4 linked regions of the Arabidopsis thaliana genome follow. The protein of the gene in region 3 interacts with the protein of the main gene of each other region in a pairwise test. Each region holds a gene or a part of one and is shown on either strand. Other genes may lie near its edges. The genes, in order: AT2G43370, AT3G17740, AT3G11590 and AT3G01690.

Region 1 (4,983 bases), on a different chromosome or scaffold from region 3:
ATGGGAACACTCTCAGGGTGAGAAGGAAGTGTTGCCAGCGTGTGTAATAAACCTATTCTGTCTTCCTCTGCCTCACCAAGCCCTATGATTCCTCCTGTTTATCGGTAAAAGAAAACACTTGAGAACATGTCGTATCTATGGATTTATCAAAATCAACGAATATTACAAAACTGTGAGTCTAATGACCAAGCTGAAGACAGGTTTCAATCCTTTAGTTCTATAGAATTGAGGCATACAAGAATACTATTTTCATATCAAAGTTACCTGAACAAACGTTGATTCCAGCATCACGAACATGGCTAAGAGTTTCAAGGCGATCGTCATAACTTCTAGTAGTGATGACGTTTGGGTAGTACTCTCTTGAAGTATCAAGATTGTGGTTATAAGCAGTGAGGCCAGCCTTCTTTAGCTCTAGTGCTTGTTGTTTCTCAATCATGCCTAAGGTGCAGCAAACTTCCATCCCCATGCCTCTGTTTTAAAGTGAGAGCCCAGAAAGTTAGTAAACACATTCAGCCAGACACCATCATCAACATCATATTCATTCTGCTCACGGATACATCAAGTACACTTTGAAATTTTCACTTTAGTTTGACATGCAAAAATGTTCATTCTAGAACCATTAATGATCGGTTCGGTGGGTTATCTTTTAAGTTAGCTTAGATTCAGAAGCAGCTGAAAAAGGGATCATATAATGTAGTATAAACAAGGAAATTCAAAGTTCAACTTAAAAAGCATAATAGTAAGGTACCTTATTTCTTTGATGTATTCAAGAATCTGGCTGAAGTTGGTTTTCCGTCCAATTGTATCTCGCCAAGCAGCACCCATGCAAAAACGTGTGCTCCCAGCTTCTTTTGCCTAACAACACATCAAATTTGTTAATTCAAATCAGAAGAGCTCATTACATCGTCAAAATGCTTCATTAAACAATTAGAGTCTTTTGGATAGAGATAGAGCTCGGATTGATAAAAACAACGTTTTGGTACATAGTAATGCATGTCCCCTTCTTCTTGATACATTCTGCTAAGGATTCTACATTCAGCAAAAATAAACATTCACAAGAAAAGTGCAAACCTTCTTAGCAGCATCAATGACAGCGTCCTTAGACATGAGTCTTTGTGCCTTAACTCCAGTGCTATATCTCGAAGACTGAGGACAATATGAACAGTCTTCACTACAGCCACCAGTCTTTATGGAGAGGAGGGTACATTGTTGTACCTCCCTGAAGTTATGAACATGTCTATGAACCTGAGCCTGAAACCCAAAGAGTCCACACACCATCGTTATTCAAGTAAAAGACAACTGATAACGAGATCAGATGAGCAACCAAATGAATAATACCTAGCTCAATAGACATTACAAAGACACTAAAATCCGGGAAATTAAGACAAATGTTTCAAAGAGAACAAACATGTTCTGGGTTAAACTAAAAATCGATACTTTCCACCAATAATTTAACAGAAACCCAAAGCTTTCTACTTCAAATTTGTGATTTAGAGTAGCTAGAACAACAAAGAGAAGAGTAAGTGAGAGAGAGAGAGAGAGAGAGAGAGAGAGAAGAAGAAGGGTAAATTACTCCATGGAAGAGGAGGTCAAGAAGAGGAGAATCATAAACAGACTTGATTTCATCTCTACTCCAATCGTTTCTGGGACCTTCTCTGATAGTCCTCTCAGCTTCAGCTGAAGCAGCAGATAATGAAGAATAGCAAGAAGCAGATTGCAGACCACCCGAGACAGAGGGTCGCAACTGAGATCGAAATACAGATCGAACAAGCATCATTTGATCTGCTAATCAGAAAATGTGGAAAAAGAAGAAGAAGAAGAAATGAGATTTGGTGTTTGGTTTGTGCTAGAGCTTTTCACTCTTCAGTGAGTGATTCACCTAACCCAAAGCAGCCACCGTTGGAGTTTCCGCCTTCGTGTGGGACCTACGAGAATATCATATATCTTTAACTGGGCTGTAATAAGCCCAATTTATATGTTGGGCTTTTTAATAGTAATCAATTCAAACGACGACGTTATTCTTTATTTCCTTAAACAGCCGGAGCCGCCGTGAGAGAGAGAGAGTCGGGGGAGAAGAAATGAGCGGCGGAGGAAACAACGTCGTGAACAAAGTGTTCTACGCGACGTCGTATCATCCGATTCAAGCCGGAAGTATCGACGGAACTGATGTTGCTCCACATGATAACGGCGTCCGTCGAGCTCTTCTCTGTTATAACGCTGGCTTATGTATGTATACTCTCTCGTTCTCTCTGCTCCTCTTTTCACTTTTATCGTTTGGTTTCTGAATTCAAATACATTGATTTGGGTTGTTTTGAAAGATGATCCTTCTGGTGATTCGAAGGCTGTTGGAGATCCTTACTGTACTCTCTTCGTGGGTCGTCTCTCTCATCACACTACGGAGGATACACTTCGAGAGGTTAATGATTGAAATTTCACTTAGTTTTTGATTTTCGTGTAGACTATGTTTTGAATATGATTATAAAAGTTTCTTCTTCGTAGGTGATGAGTAAGTATGGCAGGATTAAGAACTTGCGCTTGGTAAGACACATTGGTAAGATTTTGCAATTGCTCTACTTATGACATCAACACTTTGCTTTATCTTTAGGAAATTTATCATCTTTCTATTTCTGATGGTTTGTTACTTTCTACCAAGATATTTGTCTAAGCAGAACTGTGATTACATATTTCCTCTAAGTTCCACATTGTGTAGTATTGAGTCTCCTCTTCTTGTTACCTTTTTTTAGTGACGGGAGCTTCACGAGGATATGGTTTTGTGGAGTATGAGACTGAAAAGGAGATGCTTCGTGCTTATGAGGTGCTGTGATACTAAATTGCATTTTCTTTTTACCTCTTGTTTTTGTTGTTGAAAGCTGTCTGAACCACTTACTAAGGCACCGCAATGTGATTGTTTCATTAACATCTCCGTGTAATTACTGGAAACTAGTGGAGTTTGTTTATCAGAGTGAGAATTTTTTTGGTGTTTCTTTAGCAGGATGCTCATCATTCACTAATAGATGGGCGAGAGATTATTGTTGATTATAATAGACAGCAATTGATGCCTGGATGGATACCAAGAAGACTAGGTTTGCCATTCTTTACCTTTATTTTTGTCTGTAATGAAATGTCATAGGCGTTATATTTTCATCCCTTACAGATGAAATCTATTTCTCTCTTAACAGGAGGTGGCCTTGGTGGTAGGAAAGAATCCGGACAACTTCGCTTTGGAGGACGAGATAGACCATTCCGTGCTCCCTTGTATGGTTTTGCTTTACTCTTCCTTTAGCATGTCCAGAGATAACACCAGCTAAACATAGTGGTCATGAAATGGGCATTCTTTCTATTTGTTAATATCAGACGACCAATCCCTCATGAAGATTTGAAAAAGCTCGGTATTCAGCTTCCGCCTGAGGGAAGATATATGTCGCGCACACAGGTCTACCATGTCTTGAACTTCACCACCACTCTATAGTCATTTGAACTTTACCCCTGTTCTGTCTCTGGTGCTATCTTATTGGGTCATTTGTTAATGTTCTTCTGCTAGAAATAATATATTAAATGGGTTGTTCAATGTGTCTAGTGGAAAGCTGATAGTTTGTAAACTAAAATCTTGGTACCACAACTTACTTGTTGGATGCAGATCCCATCACCTCCAAGGAGAAAAGGAAGTGTGTCGGATAGAGAGGAAGAATATTATCGGGAAAAGAGTTCTGTAGAACGGGAAGAAGAGTTTAAAGAGCGAAGCAGCCTTAGGTCATATCACAGTCACAGGTCGAGCGCACACACACACAGTTCTCATAGAAGACGCAGCAAAGACAGAGAGGAGTGTTCCAGGGAAGAGTCCCGTTCTGATAGAAAAGAGAGAGCACGAGGTATGGAAGATCGATATGGTGACAACAAGGGTGAAGTTTCTGGCAGCAAAAGATCAAAACGTTCTGAAGAAGACCGATCTCGCAAACGTCATAAACACTTGCCTTCCCATCATCATAGGAGGTCCTATAGTCAAGATCATCATTCTTCCGACTAAGTAATCATATTGTAAAAAAAATAACAATAATATTTGGTGTTACAGATTTTTTTTTAATAATATTTGGTGTTAGAGACTTTTAAGAGTGCCTTTTGAACCAAAGAAAAAAAAAGTGTAGTGTATGTTAATCAAATATAGCAAAACAGAAATTGTCTTTTTTTTTTAGTTACAAACAAGATATTTGTTTTGCAATTAACATGAGTGAATTGTCTTTATATCTTAAATTATGGCCGTATAGATTTGATTGTTAAGATATAAAAAAATTTGGGATGATGCAATTTGTAATTTATCTAAATGGATAAAATAGTTCATCAAATATTATTATTTTTATGAACTATGACATTACAGTTGGATTTGTTTCTGTAGTTTATCTTATATTTCTTTTTTTAGAACTAATGAACTATTATTATCTTATATTTTGTTTTGTATTGAATTTGTTCGAATATAAAAACTCACATTTGATGTTGAAATAGAGATTTAGTTTGTCTGTGTAGATACTAGATAGTTGTTGTATCAACAGACAGAATTGAAACTTGGTTTCAGATTCTTGTTTTGTTTATTCAAACTCACTTTGATTTGATTGTATTTGTACCTCTCATGAATTGTCTATTAGGAGGATAGAGAGTCGCCTCAGATTGACTAGAGACAATGTCATTCTCGTACTCGTTGCATGCAAGTGGAATAAAAGTCAAATTATCCGAAACAGGGATATCCCATCTTCCTAGCTGATCAGAAAATATGGTGTATCTCTTAATTTCCGGCCTCAATTTTTTGTTCTTGCTGCAGGTATTTGTGATCACAAGAAAGAGATTGCAGGACATATTCTTTTCGCATATATCCTCTGCAAATTCTTTATGAGGAGGGGCAACGCCTGATGCAGGACATTTACATGTCAGGATTTGACAGATAGAATCTTTGAGTCATATGAGTGCATTCTCAGCTGCAAAAAACGCCATGTT
Region 2 (7,719 bases), 2.4 Mb from region 3:
TATGAAATTTGCAAAATGGGTCTTTAAAACCCTTGACGTGATAAAGTGACTTGTATGTTCTTCTTATCTTGTAGATATAATTTATGACAAATGTATTGTTGACTGATTCTTGAACCTCTGCGATGTTGTAGGCCTCTTAAGAATGAACGTTTTGTCTAATCAGAATCTCAAGAACGTTTGTCTCACTACAGTCCTCATCTACATGGTTTCCCCAAAATAACGTTTCGAAAGTATAACTTTGTTTTAGGCTGATTAAAATATGATACTATTAATAAAATATGATACTATTAACCCAACATTAAGAAAAAAGTTGTAAAAAATTCAAGAAAGCTCATGTACTATACATCGTCGTTTATTCAGAGCATATAAGAAATTTAAACAAAATCACCTTTCAAAGAAGGGAAAAGGTATTATAGCTGCTCTCTGTAACAAGGAGAGCAGAAATTGCTTTTAAACTTGATGTGATTCAAAAGGAACCGAGATCAAATTAGGAAGATAGACACAGTAAGAAAACTGAAAAATCCCAGAATTGATCTGAATCTTCTTGAACATATCTCCCCTCACCATATAGATGCAAGTAGCTCCAGTTTTGTAATCGCCACAACACATGATTATGGTCTTGTCAAAGATGAAGTAAGTAATACCAGAAAATTAATGGAATAGCAAGGGAAAGTCAGGTATTGACAGTGTCAGTAAGTGTAACCACACCACGTCATCCTTATTACTAATGTTAATCTTGTCCTTTGTTACCCAAATCTCTGTATTCATATACGAGTTTGCTTTAACAATGCAAATCGATCGCCCTTAAATACAGTGATGACAAGTTTATCTAGTGAGCCAGAAACACTTCTCACAAGGAGGCAAAAGAGCATCGATATTTCCGTGGAGGAATCAAAGCTTCCGAGAAAAATACTCACGAGTCTCTTGTAAGCAGTCCAATACAAATTTCCGTTCAAGGAAACATATTCACTTAAACCTGCCAACATTGGCCAATTTTGGGGAGTCAATGAACTTATCGAGTGAGACGCACACTCATAAATACTTAAATGAACTTATACTTGATTATTTATAGAAAATCACGTTTCCATATTACAACAATATTTGTTAGTTGACACTTAAATGATCTCATCCCTGCATAAGCAGAATCTCGTAGATATCTGTCCTAATGTTCAGTTCCTTGTCCCGCATCACTTCTTGTAAATCTGACATCTCTTTTGCCGTCAAGACTGATCCCAGCTTCCCAAACCCATCGAGCCATAGTTTCTTCGACCTGCCATGTCATTATGTTAAGAATTGGTTCTCAGACAATATGAGAAATCTGGAGAAAGAACTCTAGATTTTTCTTACCATGGGCATGCATTTATAGCTCGGAAATAAATCCTTCTAGCTGCTGATGGATTGTCCGCGATGTCGATCTCATATGCTATGTAGCAACGCCATAGAATAACTGAGTTGTTTTGTGTATCTTGTGCCAATGCCCTTTCAAACAATCCGCGGATTCTGTGTGATGAGCCTCCTTTACTCAATTCATAAGAAAGTGCAAATAGCCAAACAACGACAGACGAATTCCTGCATGATTAGATATACTAAACTTGCTTAGCACTGAAATGTCGATATATATAAACCTTGTTCTAGGAGGAAGGCCATAAACATGTAACTGTTAGTCTTTAACCATTTAAGCTAAGCATCTCTATCAACATTAGGCAGTACTCCTGAGATCGGAGGGTTTCTTATTAACAAGTTTGTGAAAAAGCTTACTTGCGGGAGTAGTCATCGAACATCATTCTCAGTTTATGGGATGTCATCCGGTGATTACAAATGTCCACCAAAGCTCGATAAAGTTCAGGATTGAGAGGATACAGTTGCAGTCCCTCTGATATGGGCTTCCAAAGTTGTGACAAAGTTAGATCGTCCTGGTGTCTCTGAAGCATTCTCACATAATAATTGAACAAGAGTTCAAGTTGATGACTTTGACTTTTTCTTCCTGAAAAATTCACAATAGCCCAAATTCAGATATACAGTGGATACATGCTTTTAAGAGAAATTCATATGGAAAATAGTAAGTGAACCCAAGAATACTGATCATGGAAATAAGTAAATAACCTGGAAGAACAGAACTGAACATGTGCTCTAAGATCTCAAGAGCACCAGGAAGGTCATTTGTTAACTCCTCAAATAGAGCTGCCGAACAAACAAGCGCTGCTGATTGATCATCTGTGACACCATGAGACCATGTTGATTGTATCTTCTTAAGCTTCTCTCTGAACCCCTGGCGTGCTCTAAGAATTTGCATGCTTGAAGACTGGGAAGTATAAGGACTATAAGCTAGACCACTTCCCAGGTAGCACAGAATATGCATAGCACGAGATGATGATTCTGTATCCCTACCACTGCCGCTACTATTGGCTACTTCCGATTCAGCATACCATAAACATAGCAAAGGAGTGTTACACTGTAATTCCTGCAATCATAGGTGAAATAAATTTAGCATGGCTTTTGCAATGTCATAAAAATCCAAAGAAAGCACGGAAATTGGGCTAGATATATCCACTAGGCCATGCTTCCCTGTACATTACCAAGAAGAGACTGTTCTATAACAAACTCTACTATGATCCGTCCATGAGAGAGATTATCTTGTCCAAACTCAAGTGGCAGTGCCCCAGTTTTTGGGACCAGTACGCGATAATTTGAATCAGAAATAAACACAAAACCAGGGTTACTGATCCAGAAGTTCCTTGGAATTAGAAACATACGTGGAAACCTGAAATTTTGTATCATATGCTAACAAGTAACAATATAACCAAAAGATCTGAAACTAACCTTAGGGAGGCCACAGATAGAAGTCAGTGCCATGTCGAAGACTCGCCTTGCATGTTTCATATTTCCAGAAGCAGCTTCTCTCTGTGCATAAACTCCACAAAGTAGTAGATCCTGTTCATAGAGAACGAATCAGTTCAGATAAACTGAACAAAAAAACACATCAAAAAATTGGAATGGGGCTTACCTGCCGGTCACTTTTCAGGAGACGTTTGGCCAAAGCTTGGCATGGCATAGTTGCTACCTCACATGTTTTCATATTTGTTACAAATAGTTCTTCTGCAACAAGCACAGCTTCTTCGAGAATGTAATTTCGCGGGAAAACATTTAGACAAAGCAAGATGGCATTGCGGAGAAACTTCATCATCTCAGTCCGCATAGATAAGTCACAGCTGCCACCTAGAAGAGATCCCAAGCTGAAACAGTTGGCACTATCTGATTTCGACAAACATTCATGAACACTTCTCAAGTTTTCTAACATGGAATCTGAAAATGTTTCAAGGCTACTTATTTTCTCACTCCACGACAAACTGTTGCTGGAAGTCCATGGGGAGATATGTGCACCGAAGAAATCAATGAACTGGTATACCAGAGATAAGCGGGCCTCCTTTGAACGTAAGGAAAATAGATATCCATTTATATCTTCATATAGTACAACACTTGAGAGTTGCTCTTCATCTTCTCCCTCACCCATTCCCTCAACACTGGAGAATTCACCTATTAAAGGATGATGGACGGTTAACCACATGCATGTTTACAGTCTTTTAGATAGATTACATGTCAACAATACCATCAAACATATCTATAGAGACTGGAATTTATTTACTAATGACTCTGGAATGACAAAGAAGGCTGAGCGACTAGTCCCAGTTGGACAAAATTCACCCAACAGACACATTTAGACCTTTGTAAGCTCCAAAAGAAAAGATGAACAAACAATACAGAGATAATGATGGTAAAGATAGAGATAGATACCAGCTTTCCGAGTAGGCATCCATTGACTGTGATCTCGAGAAACCTCTTCTTCAAACCATTTAACCCAAGTTGATGTATCTTTAACCTCATCACTGGCCGCAGTATTGACATCAATGCCCAATAATTTCAGCATAGCTTCGGTGTCATCTTCAGGTTTGCTATTCTCGTCTTCCATTTCCTCATCCAGACCCTTCCGATCAACATCGACCTCTCCAGTGTTAGCTGAAGCAATATCATCTCCATTTCTACCTGAGACCTGTTCTGTCCAACCTGTCCAACCACCTACTTCATTGTCATCAGAGGATTCTTCTTTCAAAATTTTCTGCCTGTTTTCCTCCTCTTTCTCCAGCCACAATAACCATCCAAAAGCTCCTTCTTCTCCAACTCTAGCACCATTACTGCTCCAAAAGTGCTCAAACAGTCGTAATTTACTCTGTTCAGTTAGCAACAAAGATGGAGAAAAGATGCTAAATTCCACTTCGGCTTGAAGTAACGCTGTGGCCAGCTCCTGGTAACCAGCCTGCCACTCAAACCTGCAGAGGCTAACTAGCATATCGACTAGAACGAGTTCCTGTTGGATGGCAGCAGAATCCAATGGTTCAGATGTTGTATCCACCTGCATAATCCAATAAATAGAATTAGACCTTACAATGTCAAACTGCTATTAATGAGAATATCAATAATGCCAGCGATTAAAGATAGTGGGGAAACACCAAACGACTTGTGACAGTAAACAGTACGTAATGAAGTGATTCATCAACCCTTATCAGTTAGCACCATAAAATAAGAACCTGCCTATGTCGCTTGCTGCAAGCAGAAGAAAGAGCCTGGATCGCATAAGAATACAGCCTCCTCACTTCTGATACTTTGAATCTGGAGAACTCCCCTTGAACAACACATAAAAACTCCCTCCATAATTTGTAGCTTGCGGAATTCTGCATAAGTGCCTTTTCCCACCTACTGATTAGTACATCAGCGTTGTCTCTGCTTCGGTATGCCTTGAGCAGAGCAAGCAACAGTTCTTCGCTATCTGGGTTCAGCTCAAAAGCCTTCTCAAGTATACTAATCTTTTTCTCTAAAGTCTGCAGGCGAACTCCTTTCTGAGATTGCATACTTGAAACCTTGTCTTGAAAATCAGCAAATGCCAGCCATGCCTTTGCATCATGGGGACGTTCTCTCGTCACTCTGTTGAACTCCCGTGTTTTATTCAGCACTTCATCCTCCCATGATGCTCCAATCATTGAGTCCTTTGATAAAACATCTTCTTCGTCACTTTCTGGAACAGTCACGTCTTCCTCCAGTGGAATGAAATTATCAAAGGAAGAATCCACAGCTTCACTTGCAGCAGATAAACGAATACGCTTGAAATTCTTGTTGCGTTCCATGGCAGCATGTTTTGCATACCAGTATCGGGTATCAGACTTTGCTCTCCCCTCCAAAGAATCAATATCAATCTCTGTGTCAAGCATAGAACTACGTCGATTCCGCAAATAAAACCTCAGAGAACCTGACCCTGGAACTCTCTGAGAATTGTCAAGTTTATAACGAGGAACATTCATCCTGTATTATGCAAACAGAAGCAAAATTTCAATATCCCTACACTCTTAAAACGCCTTGCACAGAATACAGAAAATGAAACCAACCATAACTAGACAAATTATAAGCAAAGTACCTGTAAATAGAGCCATAAGCCAGATTATCTGGATCAGGACGAGTGTCCAAGTAATAATCCTTCACAGGTTTCGAATAGTATTCATCAGATTTACGAGAACGAGATTCATCCGAAGCATTATCACTCTTCCGTTTCTTCTTTTTCTCTCGCTTCCTCTTTACCTTGTCGTCATCAGACTCCAAAGACCCTTCTTCTTCAACCAAATTATAAACCCTAGCCTGATTAGCTAAACCGATATTTCCATCAGCTCCTCCTTCTTCATCTTCGTCGTCTCCAGCCTCGACCTCGGATGAGGAAGGAGCCGTCGAAGCGGCAGCGTTGATGACAGAGAGATCCGTAGTGAAGCTAGCGTTGCGAAGCCATTGAGGAGCATTCGAAATAGCTGAGATGGAGTTCGCCGAAGTAGGGAAGACGGGGAACAAGCCGCCTGTAGTTACCTGTGCTCCGTCGCCGTCTTCTGGTGTATTCGACATTACATCCACCGGAAAAAACAAAACCGATTCTGTATTTTTTTTGTGCCGCTATATATTTCTGCCAAGGATCGTGAATACTGAATAGGCCTAATTATTGGGCCTATATAAATAATTAATGGGCTCTATTAACATTGAAAGAATTTACTCATTGTTTAATGTTCAACAACATTCGAATTTGAATTCGAAACTACATAACCGGTAAATATTTATTGATTAATTATTACGCCATATTTAATTTTACTCGTTAATTCGTTATGAAAAAGTACAGCAAAAAGTATAAAAACCACGTGCAATATTGTAAAGAATAAACTAAAATTTGTGATAAATTTAGGACAGTCTAATAAAAATTGGCAAAAGTGTCATTTTGCTTTTTTATTTCCCACCAAAACTAATGATTTTCCATGGATCCAAAGGTAAACACATTTTGGAGAAGGTAAACACATTTGTTTTGGAGAATTCCTTCAGGCGTAAATATTGCTTTTAGCGGTAAAAGAGGCTCAATCGTGGCAGGAAGCTCAATTCGAGCTCCATAGTGAAAGTCATGGTTCTTTGTCTATAGATAATCGAATTCGGGTGAGGGATGTATCACAAGATACAACTTTTTCTGGCTATCGGTGTTTTATTGATGGATCTTGGAAAGCAAGTGACCAGTTCTCAGGAACAGGATGGTTCTGTCTATCATCTCTTGGAGAGTCGCCAACCATGGGAGCCGTCAACGTTCGTAGAAGCCTATCTCCTCTACATACCGAAATGGAAGCTCTTCTTTGGGCGATGAAGTGCATGATTGGAGCAGATAACCAGAACGTAGCTTTCTTTACAGACTGTTCATGTCACGTATGTAAACAATATCCCGGATTGACTCTTTTGAGTTTTAATTTATATCGGTTGAAAAAAAAAAAAAAAAAAAGATAAACACATTTAATAAAAATAAACGAAAAAATAAAATAAAAATTGGCATTATTATTTGCGCATTGGTGGCGTTGATAATGGGATGTCCAAGGAGGAGGGAAGCGCCGGGATTGCAGCATAAGCAAATTTATTAAGACGAAGAAGAAGAAGCTCCATTAGATTTTGCAGAACAAATCAAAAGAACTTCAACAAGGAATATTGCAAGAAATTGATTGAAGCTGCTCGAATTAGATCTGTAAGTGAAAATGATTGCTCGACTTCGAATTCTGGGTTTTTTGTTTTGTTTTTTATGGGGTAATATTCATGAGAGAAGGAGAATATGCTTTTGTTAGGGTTCTGTCTAACGAATTTTCGTACTAGTCACTAAGTTGCTTAATTTTATCTTTCTGGGTTTTTGTTTGGAGGGAGGAATTATTTGAGATTCGAAGAAATAAATCATGGAGTTTCTGTTTGTGTAAATGTTTCTCAGGTTTTGTGAAAATTTGTTTCTAGAGATTTGGGGAAATGGAGGATTCGAGCTCTATCGATTCGATTTTGGAATTTTTGCGGAAGAATCATTTTATGAGAGCTGAAGCTGCGTTGATTAGTGAGCTTTCTAAGAAACCAAGTTCAAATGGGTCTCTTCAAAAGCTTAACTTTGAGGATAATTGTGTGAGCAAGTTGTTGGATAAGAAGAAGCAAGGCGGGAGTAGCCAAGCATTGGGTCTTCACAACGATAGTCACATTTCTGATGAATTGGTTGTGAAAGAGATACAATGTGGAGCTGCCAATAACTTACACGAGAGTAATCTTATGAATGATGTTTCTGTTCAGACACAAAGTGGTAATGCAGATTTTTGGGAGGAGAGATTCACGTTTGCTGAAGGATTTGAG
Region 3 (6,243 bases):
CGATTGAAGATTAGGGCTTCATAGTAGATCGGTTTAGTCAGTTTATTAGCTCGGGTCGATTTTGATTTAAGAGCTTGGTTCGGTTTGGTATAGTTGATTGGGCTCTTTTCAAATTTTGTATGGATCTAAATTCGAAAATAATCCATTAAACCATTGTTTATAATATTAAATAACCAATAACAAAAAAAAAAAAAGTTCTCGCCTTCTCGGTTTAATCTTCATTCCTTTTTTTTAATACTCTTTTTTTTTAATTTGTTGAGAAATTGGAGATTAAAAATAAAGCCCAAAATAAAATAAAAAACCCCGGCCCATTAACAGTTAGTATTAAACAGCTTTTGCAACAGACGGCGGTAAACGATAAGATGGTGTTTTTTATGTCGTATCCGCCGACACGGCGGCAGTTAGTAGTGTCGGTGGGTTTTTTCGCGGCGGGCGTTTCTCTCTTCGTCGCCGGAGCGTATCTCTCACTCGCCAACATCTCACCGCAACAAGCTCGCGTCAAAGCTCGTAATGATTTCGTCAAGGATCGAATCAGGAAATGGCTCGACGATTAGTGTCTTTTTTTCGATCTTGTAGGCGTTCTAACTCTTAAATGATATAAATCAAAAGACGATTTCGTGTAAATTCATGCTCTTACATGTTTGGATCATTACCAGTTCAAATTCATGTTTTATGTCACTTACAGATGAGAGAATCACTCTTGACAAAACGAGCGAACAGAGAAAAAATGTAGATGTAAAGTCTTTAGATTCTGTTATCTCTGCGCTGAAAATGTGAATAAAATTTCTTGATCATATTACCATCTTGATTTTCTGGCATTCTGGTTCTCGCCTTTCGAAGCATCCGATAACCGCGACTTTGAAACAGATCCACCGCGGAAGTTACTTAGTCTCGAACCCGAGAGGATATGGTGATCTTTTGAAGAAGCCTTGTTTGGTTTATAAGCTTGTGTTTCATCTATATACCCTTTAGGCTCAACGTCAATAGATCTTCCCCAATCCAACCCTCCATCTCCACTTTTTTGAAGCTTCTCGCTCTGTACAACCCAATCAACACAATCCGATATGCTTCTTTGTAAAGAAAGGCTTTTCCTTGGCGTTGATTTTCTTCCTCTGTTCTCTTCACCATAAGGCCATTTATAGCTCTTGTTGTCTATGTTCAGTTCTATGGAATGAAGGTCGCTTTCGCCTGAACCTTCTTCATTTCCATTCTCGACTTCTCCATCTTCGATGTTATATGATCCAAAACTGATGTGATGGTTTAAATAATCTCCAGCCTCTTCGTTATGTAGCTGAGTTTGAGGTGGTTCACGGGTCTTCTCTTTACATCTTTTTGCTTTGAGGTAAGTTTGAAGCTGGTTTCTTAGCTTATCAACAGCTGCGTTTTTCTCCTCGAGCTGGTGTTTAGCCTCCGATAGTTTCATCTGTACTCTCTCTTCCCGCAATGCATCTGCTAACTGCAACATCTCTCTTTCCTTTTCGACTTCTTCTTTGACTTTAAAAGATTCTCTCTTCAGTTCTTCAACTTCGGCTTTGTCTTCGCTTATGTCTCTTGCTAGTTCATCACAAACTTTCTCAACCATCACTCTCGCTCGCTTCTCGTTCTCGATTTCTTTAACTGCTTTCATCAGAGCTGATTTTGTTTCAGCCAATTCTTTGCCCAATTTCTTGTTCAAGCTCTCAAACCGTCTCCTCAGCTTCCTCTCCACTTCTAGCTCACCAGCAACAGATTCGATTGCAGCCTCAACAACTTCTTGCTCGTTGCTTTTCCACACAGCTTTCTCTTCGGCAAAACGCTTCATCAAGTAGCTAATGTCGTTGTTTTCCGGTTTATGTTCGTGGATTAACTGATTGACCTGTAAGCGAGCTCTTTCGAGCTCAGAATGTAAAGCAGAGACGAGGGACATGCTAGAAGATGGGCGGTCGTCTTGACCCCACATTCTGTTAATGATTTTGAGAAGCTCTTTTGATGTTGTGAGAGCGTTACTACAATCCTTCAACCGTGTTTTGACACCCACAGTTGACCCAGTCGGTGTCTCCACCCGTGATCGAGTCTCAATCTGCATTGGAAAAACACATTTCAAATATTTTTGAACATCACTCTCTTGCACACATATTGATTTATAGATGATGGAGGCAAATTAACTAATCATAACGGATTGAGTGTCTCCTAGTTTCTTATACCGTTATTTGCAATGTTTCTGTGCATAACAAAACAAACCATAGATTATGTGTACGTATGCTTCCAAAGTAAAAAAACCAACAGCCTCTGGAGCCAATAATGCTCAATAATATACTACTTTCATCCTTAATCAAATACCAAATTTGGTTTGAGAAAATTATGAAAACTGCTAGAAGAAAGGGTTCCTCATAATGCTCAAAGAAACATCCCCAAGAGTGAAAAAAAAATAAAAAAATCAACTTACATCCATGAAGCTGCCACTGTTAATAGGATCCCTAGCCCCCACATTGCAGTCTCCAAGCCTAAGCTTTTGCACAGTTGATGAAGCTCTTCTCTGGCGACTCCCAGTCCCTGATCTTTCCATCCTCTACAAAAATCAACAAGTTTCTCAGCTATCCAATTACCTAACACACAGAAGTAAAGAAAGCAGAATTCTTCGCATTGTCCATTGCCAGATTTAGCATTATATATAATTTTTCTTAGGTCTCCATTATAAGAGAATCTAGGCCTACATTATTCACAATAAATCAACCTCTAAAAAACAACCAGCTACCTCCATATGACCAACGAATGAGAAAGAATAAAAACTAGTAGAAGTGCCCAATTATGCAAGAATAATAGGCACCAACTTATAAAGAAACGCCCTTTCATATAAACATAAATGTGCGTTATAGAGCACATGACAAAAGATTCTTAAGATCAAAACAGTTTTCTATTCTTCTCTAATCCCACTCCTTAACATCAACCAGAAGCTTATACGAATAATAATCTCCCTTGATGATTAAAATACTCATAGAGGTTGCCAAAAAAATCACAACTTTGACTAAATTCAGACCTTAGAATCACACAAAGATTATCAATTTTATCAGTTAAAGATGAGATCTTTATAACTTCCCCGAATCAATCAATACTATACTATATATATTATTGTTTTTCTCTCTCTCTTTTGATCGGTCAGAATTAAAGCACATGGCAGCCAGCAAGAAGTTGGAATTACAGCACATTCTCTTCCTCTCAACCAATCATAACCAAAGCATTTTACCTCAGAGACTGGACTATGCGACGGATCAGAAAGATGAGGCGGTAGAGAACCAGAATGAACCGATGATCTCGGCGGAGGAAGCGGCGCGATTCTCTCCTTTCTACTCTTTCTAATCATTGGCGCAGCCTCCTCCACAACTCTAGGTGAAGGCATCTCGTTCATCTCCCAAAGCGTCGCAGCTAACTTCCTAGCTGAAACAGGAGCAGGAGCTGATACTTTACCGGTTTTGCTCCCGCAGTGAGACGACGGAGAAGCAGCAGCGTGTAAAGCACCGGAAGCTCGTGGAGAAGGAGATCGACCCATAAGTCTCCATGTAGGTACAGGAGTAGTGGATCCTCCTCTTTTACCAACAACTATCGCTCTTTTGAATCTATAACCTTCACGGAGAATCGAAGAAGTCGACGATGTCGGCGAAGAACAACCACGTTTCCTGATTTTGCCAAGTAGAAGTAGATTCTCTACGCTTTGATTCTGCCTCGGCATATTCAAAACAATTGTAGATCTTTCTCTTTACCTGGAAAAACAAAAAGCAGATTCAGAAAATTTCACCGATCTGTTAGAAAAAAGCACAAAGACCAAAATTGAAGTTTTTAGAGTGAGTAAGAACACTTACAGAAACTTCAAAGCATTTCTATGGCTTCTTCTTCTACTTCAGAAGATAAAGTTGGAATGGGAATTGGGGGAATTTGGAAAGAAATGGCGGTTGCTGTGTTTTGAGGTTTTTTGATCAGACTAGTGTACAGAGTGTTATGTTAAAGTGAAAAGGGGAAAGATGACAGGAGTACTCATCTTCTGTGATAAGGAACACTGTAACATGTCCACGTGGTTTGATCTGTATGGATTATGGATGTTGCTCCGTGATTTACAGGGTGGATGATTTGTAAACCGACTTAAACCGAAATAATTGAATCGAAAACCGGAAATCACTTCCTTTTTATCGGTCCTGAAATAAGAGATTCTCAATTAGAAAAACAAACTAATCAACAAATTTCTTTAGTGAAGAACAAACTTATATAAATAGTATTTAGCAGTAAACATTATTTATATTTGGTTAGTATATGGTAAGAATTCGAATGAAATAGATCCTAAGTTCAATTTCACATGTTAAACCAAAAATTATGTAGATGTCATGAATTTATATCCATATTTCACAAAGTTTGACGGCTCATTGAGAACAATTATTTTCGATTAGAAGAAAGTCCATCTGCCTAAATAAAGGGAACTAGTGCATCTAATTTTATATTTGACCAAAAATATTATGCTCGTCTATGATATACTATGGGTTAATTTGGAGATTGGATCGTGTTTGTACTATATAGGGTTTCTTAAATGACGTGTTTGAGTAGGATGCATTAGATTTTAATCATTTGATACACAATTACATGAATCGATAAAAGACCAAATAATCTAAGGTTGTTCTTTTTACCAAACCAAGATTTTTAGGTTATAAGAAAATAGTTCCTTTAGTAGATTCCTAATGTGGACCAAAATATCTTGTTAATCTCATGCTTATGACTCCTAAATCATATGATCATGTTCCTATATGAGGTATATAATATACCATTTTTCTCCATTAGACGAGTGTGAGTGAGAACCGGTGTGCTTAAGTTACTCATTACAAAATGTGTCTACTACTATTCCAAGTATATAGATATTCATTTCAATAGGTTTTGAAGTTTTATCTATACCCACAATTTCACAAATCACAACCCGTTATAATTATAAATGAATATTGATATTACAGATTTACACTCGTGTAATTGAAAAATGGATGACCGAAGTATTCATGTGAAACCATGAATATTAAAATGCATGTATTATTTTTTTTATAGCAGGATGATCAGATATGATTTCCTAGTTTTCAAGATATTGCATCCATAAAATTCACAAGTTAATTATTTGATCAAACTAAACAATTGAAACTGTAAACGTTACAAAGAAAGATAACACGGCCACACTTTTTTCCGTTGTCAAATGGACACGTCCAAGTGGAGGAGATGATTCAACATACACAATCGTACCGTATTATTGTTCAACTCTTTATTGTTGTAAACGTTTTTTGTTTGGGTCAAGTCTCTTTATTGTTGTAAACACGATTCTTTCTATAGTACTTTCTGTCACATAAGTTTTTTTTTTTTTTTATGGTGAATCCGGAAACAAAATCTGTTCGAAAAGACAATTCAACCTAGAAATAGTTGGATCTACATCATATCAAAATATATAGGTAGCAATCAATATAAAACATTAAATATATGAACAATGTAAGACTATAGTGTTAGATACAATTGCGTACAAAAAGTTCAAAATATATATGAGTCAGGCCCAACTAAGATATGAATGCCCAATAAAGAACTAAGAAATTGGTTGCCAGAACTGTATTCCTATGGGAGTCTTCTTACTTCTGACTTCTAATTTCTAACAACAATTTAGTTTTTTTTTTCTCTTTTTTTTTTTTTTTTCTTTTGGCTGTCAAAGATCTAAGTTGTAATAGTTTTGTCATTTGATGAACTTTTCAATTGTAATAGCTGACTCAAAAATTTACCCAATCACCATCAGTATACCTTATGGTATGAATGCATGAATCTATGGTCTACCAACCATCAATCTTTCACTTGCTCCATTACCCAACTATCAACATCTACTATGATATATGACAGAAATGGAAAACGAATATAAATTCGTTCAATAAAATAAAAAATATATATGTAGTAGATAAAGTTGTGGTTGAACCTATGAATGAATATTGGATAGATGTGCAGACAAATGTGTGGAGTGTGGACCTTTGCCGACTATTGCATGTTTTCATCTTTTGTACCGGAAGGAAAAAATAACTTACCATTTTCTATTACCTTTATAGCTAGATATACAAATTTATAGAAAAATAAGTAGTATTAAAAAAGAAAAGAGAGAGAAAAAAAAAAGAAGAAGAAAATCCAAAGCGTGAGGGTAGCTTTCGGATAAACACAGAAGATTGTCTCCATTTTCTTTGGAAATTTTGGGATCATGGGCGTTTTGTAGGA
Region 4 (5,166 bases), 3.4 Mb from region 3:
TCCACAAGGCAACGAGGCTAGCCTCAATGCGCTTCATATGATCTGGATTTGGGGCACTGAAGCTTTCCCTTTCACTAGATCTCGTGAGGAAGAGCTCTGGAGGAGAGAGACCTTTTCCCTTAACCTCATCGTCGACGGCATCGACTCTGTCATTTTCAACTGGGTATTTCAAAAGTCTCATCCTTTTTTCTTTTTATGATTGGCCTGGAAACTCTAGAAACAGAGCAGGCAGGGTTTGACCTAAATTACATTCATTCAAGAACGAGGCGTGATTAATGAACAATGATGGGTCTGATTTGCAGATAAAACCGGATAATTACATTTTCCTGTACGGAGGAGATGACTTGGACTGGATAAGGAGATTCACAATGGCGGCCAAAGCAACGGCCAAAGATTCCAACGTGAACCTTGAGATGGCTTACGTCGGAAAACGAAACCATAGCCACAGGGAACAGATCAGGCGTATCAGTGAAGTAATCAGGTCTGAAAACCTGAGCCATAGCTGGGCCGAACCTGCCTTGATGTGGTTCTTCTGGACTAGGCTCGAGAGCATGTTGTACTCCAAGATTCAACTCGGTAAAGCCGATGATCACGACGATGTAAGAGTTGACTAGCTAGGGTTTTCAATTATTTCGGTTCGGTTCGGTTCAATTGGTTAATGAATGATTTTGTGTGTTTGAAAACGTTGATTAGGTGATGCAAGGAATCAAAAAGATACTAAGCTACGACAAGCTTGGAGGATGGGCACTACTGAGCAAAGGACCTGAGATAGTGATGATCGCTCACGGTGCCATAGAGAGGACTATGAGTGTTTACGACCGGACCTGGAAAACCCACGTCCCGACCAAAGGCTACACCAAAGCAATGTCCGACCACCACCACGATGAGGTCCTCCGTGAAACCGGAAAACCTTGCGGCCACTTTGATTTCCACATCACTGCTCGGAGCGGTCGGATTCCGGAGAAGATGAATTGCTTCGAGTGTCAGCGTCCGATGGAGAAGTACATGAGCTTCTCTTGTTGTCACGATGAAAAGCTCCACGAAGACGAGAACTACAACTTCTAAATGATGCAATAAGCTCACGTCTCTTCCCGCTGCTTTTTCTTTTTGTTTTACGTAATTTGAATTCTCTATATAGTTTTTCATAAATAATTTCTGAATTTCAATATCTTTGTATGAGAGAGAATTGGTCATTCCATGTGTGTGGTTTGGCCTTTGTGGGACATGTTCGATTGAAGTATTCCTAATAATTTTCAATAATTAACAATTTCTTCTCTTAATAGCATAGATAAATGTTGAATTTATTTTGTTAATAAAATTAACCCTGATGAATACAACAATTTTGAATATGTCAAATTAGACCAATTCAAAATATAACTATTTGCTTTCTTTCTTCTCATAATGTTTATATATCCCACTTTAGTAAATGGACCCCCACGAAGCACACCACAGCATACTCTTTTTTATTCTTTCCAGTTTCTAATGGTTTACTTATATACTCTTATCATTTTCTAATTGATCAATTTGTCATTTATTGGCTTATCTTCTTATAAATGTTTTTTGTGTTAGTTGTTGATATCTCATTTTCTTGTCCAGTGAATTATAGCATTTCAATGTGTCCCTCATGTCGTCAATATAATGTTTTATTTTCCTTGTTATGATCCATATCTTCATGTGTGGTCCATCTTCAAATAAAGAATGGATTGTTACTACTCTTATCGTTTGGGCTAGTTTTTATAATTAGACACAAAATTTGTAACTTTCATTCTTTTTTTAGTATTTAACACAAAGTAATTTGATGGATTAGTCTAAATAATAAAGGCAAAAAGTTAAGTAAATGTCAAAAGAGATATGGCATATGTCTAATCATAACCAATGAATTGCATGGTTCTATCTAAATAGCAACCATATCATCCCACATGCCATTGTCCACCTTGTCTATCTTAGGAAAACACTTTGTTTGTAACTCTATTGTACTCTTTGAATTATGAAATCTATGTAAACCCTTCTTATTGTGGGGGACAAAGGCTAATTTTAATGGTCTGTCCACTTCTGCTTGACTTTGATACATAAATTAGGGGTGGCTCATGTCATATCTATGAGAATTAGGTACAAAAGAGTTTTCAAATGAGCAAGTTGTATTTTTATTCGATTAGCCGTCGTATTATGTCAAATATAAGTTAAAAATATGTAAAAGTACAAAATGTAGATTATGATATTAGGGATGAATTGAGATAAAATTACCTATAATTTATTACTACGCATAATAAATAATTTGTTACGTTAATTCTCATAGATACGTTATAGCCAATACCGAACCCCTATTTAAGTCAAAAGTACTTCTAAGTATTTTTTAGCGTAAATCAATTTTTATGAAAAGCAACAATTAAGATTAATGTAGTAATCTAGTAATCGTTAAAAAAGCCACTTTGTTAGTATTGCTTAATACTCTCTCTCTCTCTCTGTTCCCAAGGAGATGAAAAGCTTCAATCTCAAAACATAGCAGCTCTCTCAATAAACCAAACCCAAATGCAAGCTGTGTAGAGAGAAACGGAGTGAGGAAGGAAGGAGATGGGAGGGGTGACGTCATCGGTGGCGGCGAAGTTTGCCTTCTTCCCGCCGAGTCCACCGTCTTACAAGGTGGTGACCGACGAGCTCACCGGACTGTTGCTTCTCAGCCCTTTCCCCCACCGCGAAAACGTAGAAATCGTAAAGCTTCGGACCAGGAGAGGCACAGAGATCGTGGGCATGTACGTGAGGCATCCGATGGCTACCTCCACGCTCCTCTACTCCCATGGCAACGCCGCCGATCTGGGACAGATGTATGAGCTCTTCATTGAGCTTAGCATCCATCTCAAGGTTAATCTTATGGGGTCTGTTTTTCTTTCTCTCCCTTTGTAATTCGATTGATTTTATTATTATGATGCTGATTTAAAAATGTTATCTTTGTATGCTTCTTTTGATTGATTTGGTATAGGATTTGCCCTGTTTTGATTCTCACGTTTCTAGCTCTGTTTCTAGTATTTGCTCTGTTTATGTTTGGAGTGTTTATTCACCACCCCAATAAAAAAGGAAACTTGGGCTAGGATCTGCTTGGAATCAATCAGTCTTTGATATTATTGGTTGTGATGTTGCAGATACGATTACTCCGGGTATGGACAATCTACTGGAAAGGTTTGTCCTTTACCCCATCAATCTGATTGGTCTGATGATCCATTATGAGTTTTAGGACCAACTCTCAAAAATCTTTCTTTCTCTTAAATGATTGATTGTAGCCGAGTGAGCATAACACGTATGCTGATATCGAAGCTGTTTATAAGTGTCTTGAAGAAACCTTTGGCTCTAAGCAGGAAGGTGTCATCCTCTACGGCCAATCTGTAGGCAGCGGACCTACGTTAGATCTTGCTTCCCGGTTGCCTCAACTTAGAGCCGTCGTCCTTCACAGCCCCATTCTCTCCGGTTTAAGAGTTATGTATTCCGTCAAGAAAACCTACTGGTTCGACATCTACAAGGTAGACCACGTACCAATTCTTTCTATTAATCCTACACATTCTCCAAATTGTAATGTAAGAAGCTTGTTGTGTGTGAGTGTGTGTTTTTCCGCAGAATATCGACAAAATCCCATATGTCGATTGCCCGGTTCTCATCATTCATGTAAGTCAGGTTTCAGATAGATACATTTTCGTTTGAATTTTTGATAAGCTTTTTGGATCCAAACAGTTTCAAATATGTGCAGGGAACTTCGGATGAGGTAGTGGATTGTTCTCATGGGAAACAACTATGGGAACTCTGCAAAGACAAGTACGAGCCGCTCTGGGTGAAAGGAGGGAACCACTGTGATCTTGAACACTACCCTGAATACATTAGACACCTCAAGAAGTTCATAGCAACAGTAGAGAGATTACCATGTCCGAGGATGAGCAGCGACCAATCAGAGAGAGTGAGAGATGCGCCCCCGAGGAGAAGTATGGACAGGAGAGTGAAGCCGAGGCAGAGCACAGAGCGTAGAGAGAAAGAGAAGCCACCAAAGAGTCAGTCGAAGATGAGTAGCAGCAGCAGCAAGCTCAAGATCTCGTTTGATCAACTTGATCGCTCGCGGAGGAGCGTTGACTGCCATGAAAAGACTCGGAAGAGCGTTGACCAGATTGAGAGGGGGAGGAAGAGTGTGGATAGGTTGGATAGAGTTCGCTCCGAGTAAAAACCACACACTCACACTCACACACGTATAATACGTATGTAGATGAAAAGAGTACATAACTGTTTCTATTTACCGAACAAAATAACATGTGGATGTCGCTCCTCATATTATTGATTTGTAATCTTTTATGCAATTTGGGATCTCTCTCGCCATCTCCTTTTGAATCAACAACCTTTTGTGGTGGGCTTGAATATCCATCCTCTGTTTTTAGATGAGTTTTTAGTGTTTGTGGTAAGTAGGAAAGTTCCAAAACAAAGATCACACATCTCATGTGGGCCTGAACTAAATTCATGGCCCAATCGTTTGTTCTTAATAGAAATCCAATTTTTAGGATCTCGCTATCTTTTGCTACGTACAAAAATTAATATATACAAAAAGTAGCTCACTTCTAAAATAAGGCTAATGGATGCCCATTTTCTTCTCAAATCCATCGATTTTCCTAAAATTTCTCAAATTTCAAAACATATAAATCCATCTCATTGTCCTCTTGTTTTCCTTCATCTGAAGCTTCTGCAGTATTCAAACAAATAAAATATACTGCTTTAGCTTTGGACACCTCCTCTTACTAATCTCTATAACTATATTTAAAAAGTAGAAAATAATGGCACGTCTATTTGTCGTAGTTGCCCTTTTGGCTTTGGCCGTGGGCACCGTATTCGCCGCCGATGCACCTTCAGCTGCACCCACCGCCTCACCAACCAAATCCCCAACCAAGGCTCCTGCCGCTGCACCCAAATCCTCCGCCGCCGCACCGAAAGCATCATCCCCTGTTGCTGAGGAACCCACCCCTGAAGACGACTACTCTGCAGCCAGCCCCAGTGACTCCGCCGAGGCACCCACCGTCTCCTCCCCACCCGCTCCTACCCCCGAAGCCGATGGTCCCTCCTCCGACGGACCCTCATCTGATGGACCCGCCGCCGCCGAGTCACCCAAAAGTGGCGCCACGACTAATGTGAAGCTCTCCATCG

Evidence for each region.
Region 1: the proteins of AT3G11590 (region 3) and AT2G43370 interact in a two-hybrid assay, tested with the Arabidopsis thaliana proteins (one large-scale study listed by BioGRID).
Region 2: the proteins of AT3G11590 (region 3) and AT3G17740 interact in a two-hybrid assay, tested with the Arabidopsis thaliana proteins (one large-scale study listed by BioGRID).
Region 4: the proteins of AT3G11590 (region 3) and AT3G01690 interact in a two-hybrid assay, tested with the Arabidopsis thaliana proteins (one large-scale study listed by BioGRID).

The regions. Positions count from the first base shown.
Region 1 is NC_003071.7:18,011,353-18,016,335, forward strand, and holds AT2G43370 (RNA-binding (RRM/RBD/RNP motifs) family protein), read left to right. Parts: upstream 1-1,915; 5' UTR 1,916-2,078; coding exon 2,079-2,226; intron 2,227-2,318; coding exon 2,319-2,416; intron 2,417-2,499; coding exon 2,500-2,551; intron 2,552-2,744; coding exon 2,745-2,815; intron 2,816-2,992; coding exon 2,993-3,083; intron 3,084-3,179; coding exon 3,180-3,255; intron 3,256-3,354; coding exon 3,355-3,433; intron 3,434-3,637; coding exon 3,638-4,024; 3' UTR 4,025-4,178; downstream 4,179-4,983. Other genes in the region: BIO2 (Radical SAM superfamily protein), read right to left, coding at 1-94, 265-470, 749-855, 1,072-1,251, 1,574-1,777.
Region 2 is NC_003074.8:6,066,878-6,074,596, forward strand, and holds AT3G17740 (uncharacterized protein), read right to left. Parts: upstream 5,980-7,719; 5' UTR 5,938-5,979; coding exon 5,465-5,937; intron 5,353-5,464; coding exon 4,584-5,352; intron 4,409-4,583; coding exon 3,793-4,408; intron 3,535-3,792; coding exon 3,005-3,534; intron 2,932-3,004; coding exon 2,821-2,931; intron 2,462-2,820; coding exon 2,104-2,461; intron 1,985-2,103; coding exon 1,759-1,984; intron 1,570-1,758; coding exon 1,348-1,569; intron 1,271-1,347; coding exon 1,126-1,270; 3' UTR 807-1,125; downstream 1-806. Other genes in the region: AT3G17750 (Protein kinase superfamily protein), read left to right, coding at 7,351-7,719.
Region 3 is NC_003074.8:3,658,091-3,664,333, reverse strand, and holds AT3G11590 (golgin family A protein), read right to left. Parts: upstream 4,037-6,243; 5' UTR 3,837-4,036; intron 3,738-3,836; 5' UTR 3,707-3,737; coding exon 3,224-3,706; intron 3,171-3,223; exon of another isoform or gene 2,549-3,170; coding exon 2,426-2,548; intron 2,060-2,425; coding exon 797-2,059; 3' UTR 600-796; downstream 1-599. Other genes in the region: AT3G11591 (bric-a-brac protein), read left to right, coding at 363-554.
Region 4 is NC_003074.8:254,182-259,347, forward strand, and holds AT3G01690 (alpha/beta-Hydrolases superfamily protein), read left to right. Parts: upstream 1-2,113; 5' UTR 2,114-2,571; coding exon 2,572-2,873; intron 2,874-3,137; coding exon 3,138-3,174; intron 3,175-3,275; coding exon 3,276-3,512; intron 3,513-3,606; coding exon 3,607-3,654; intron 3,655-3,736; coding exon 3,737-4,198; 3' UTR 4,199-4,515; downstream 4,516-5,166. Other genes in the region: SEOR1 (sieve element occlusion amino-terminus protein), read left to right, coding at 1-163, 303-599, 694-1,065; AGP11 (arabinogalactan protein 11), read left to right, coding at 4,800-5,166.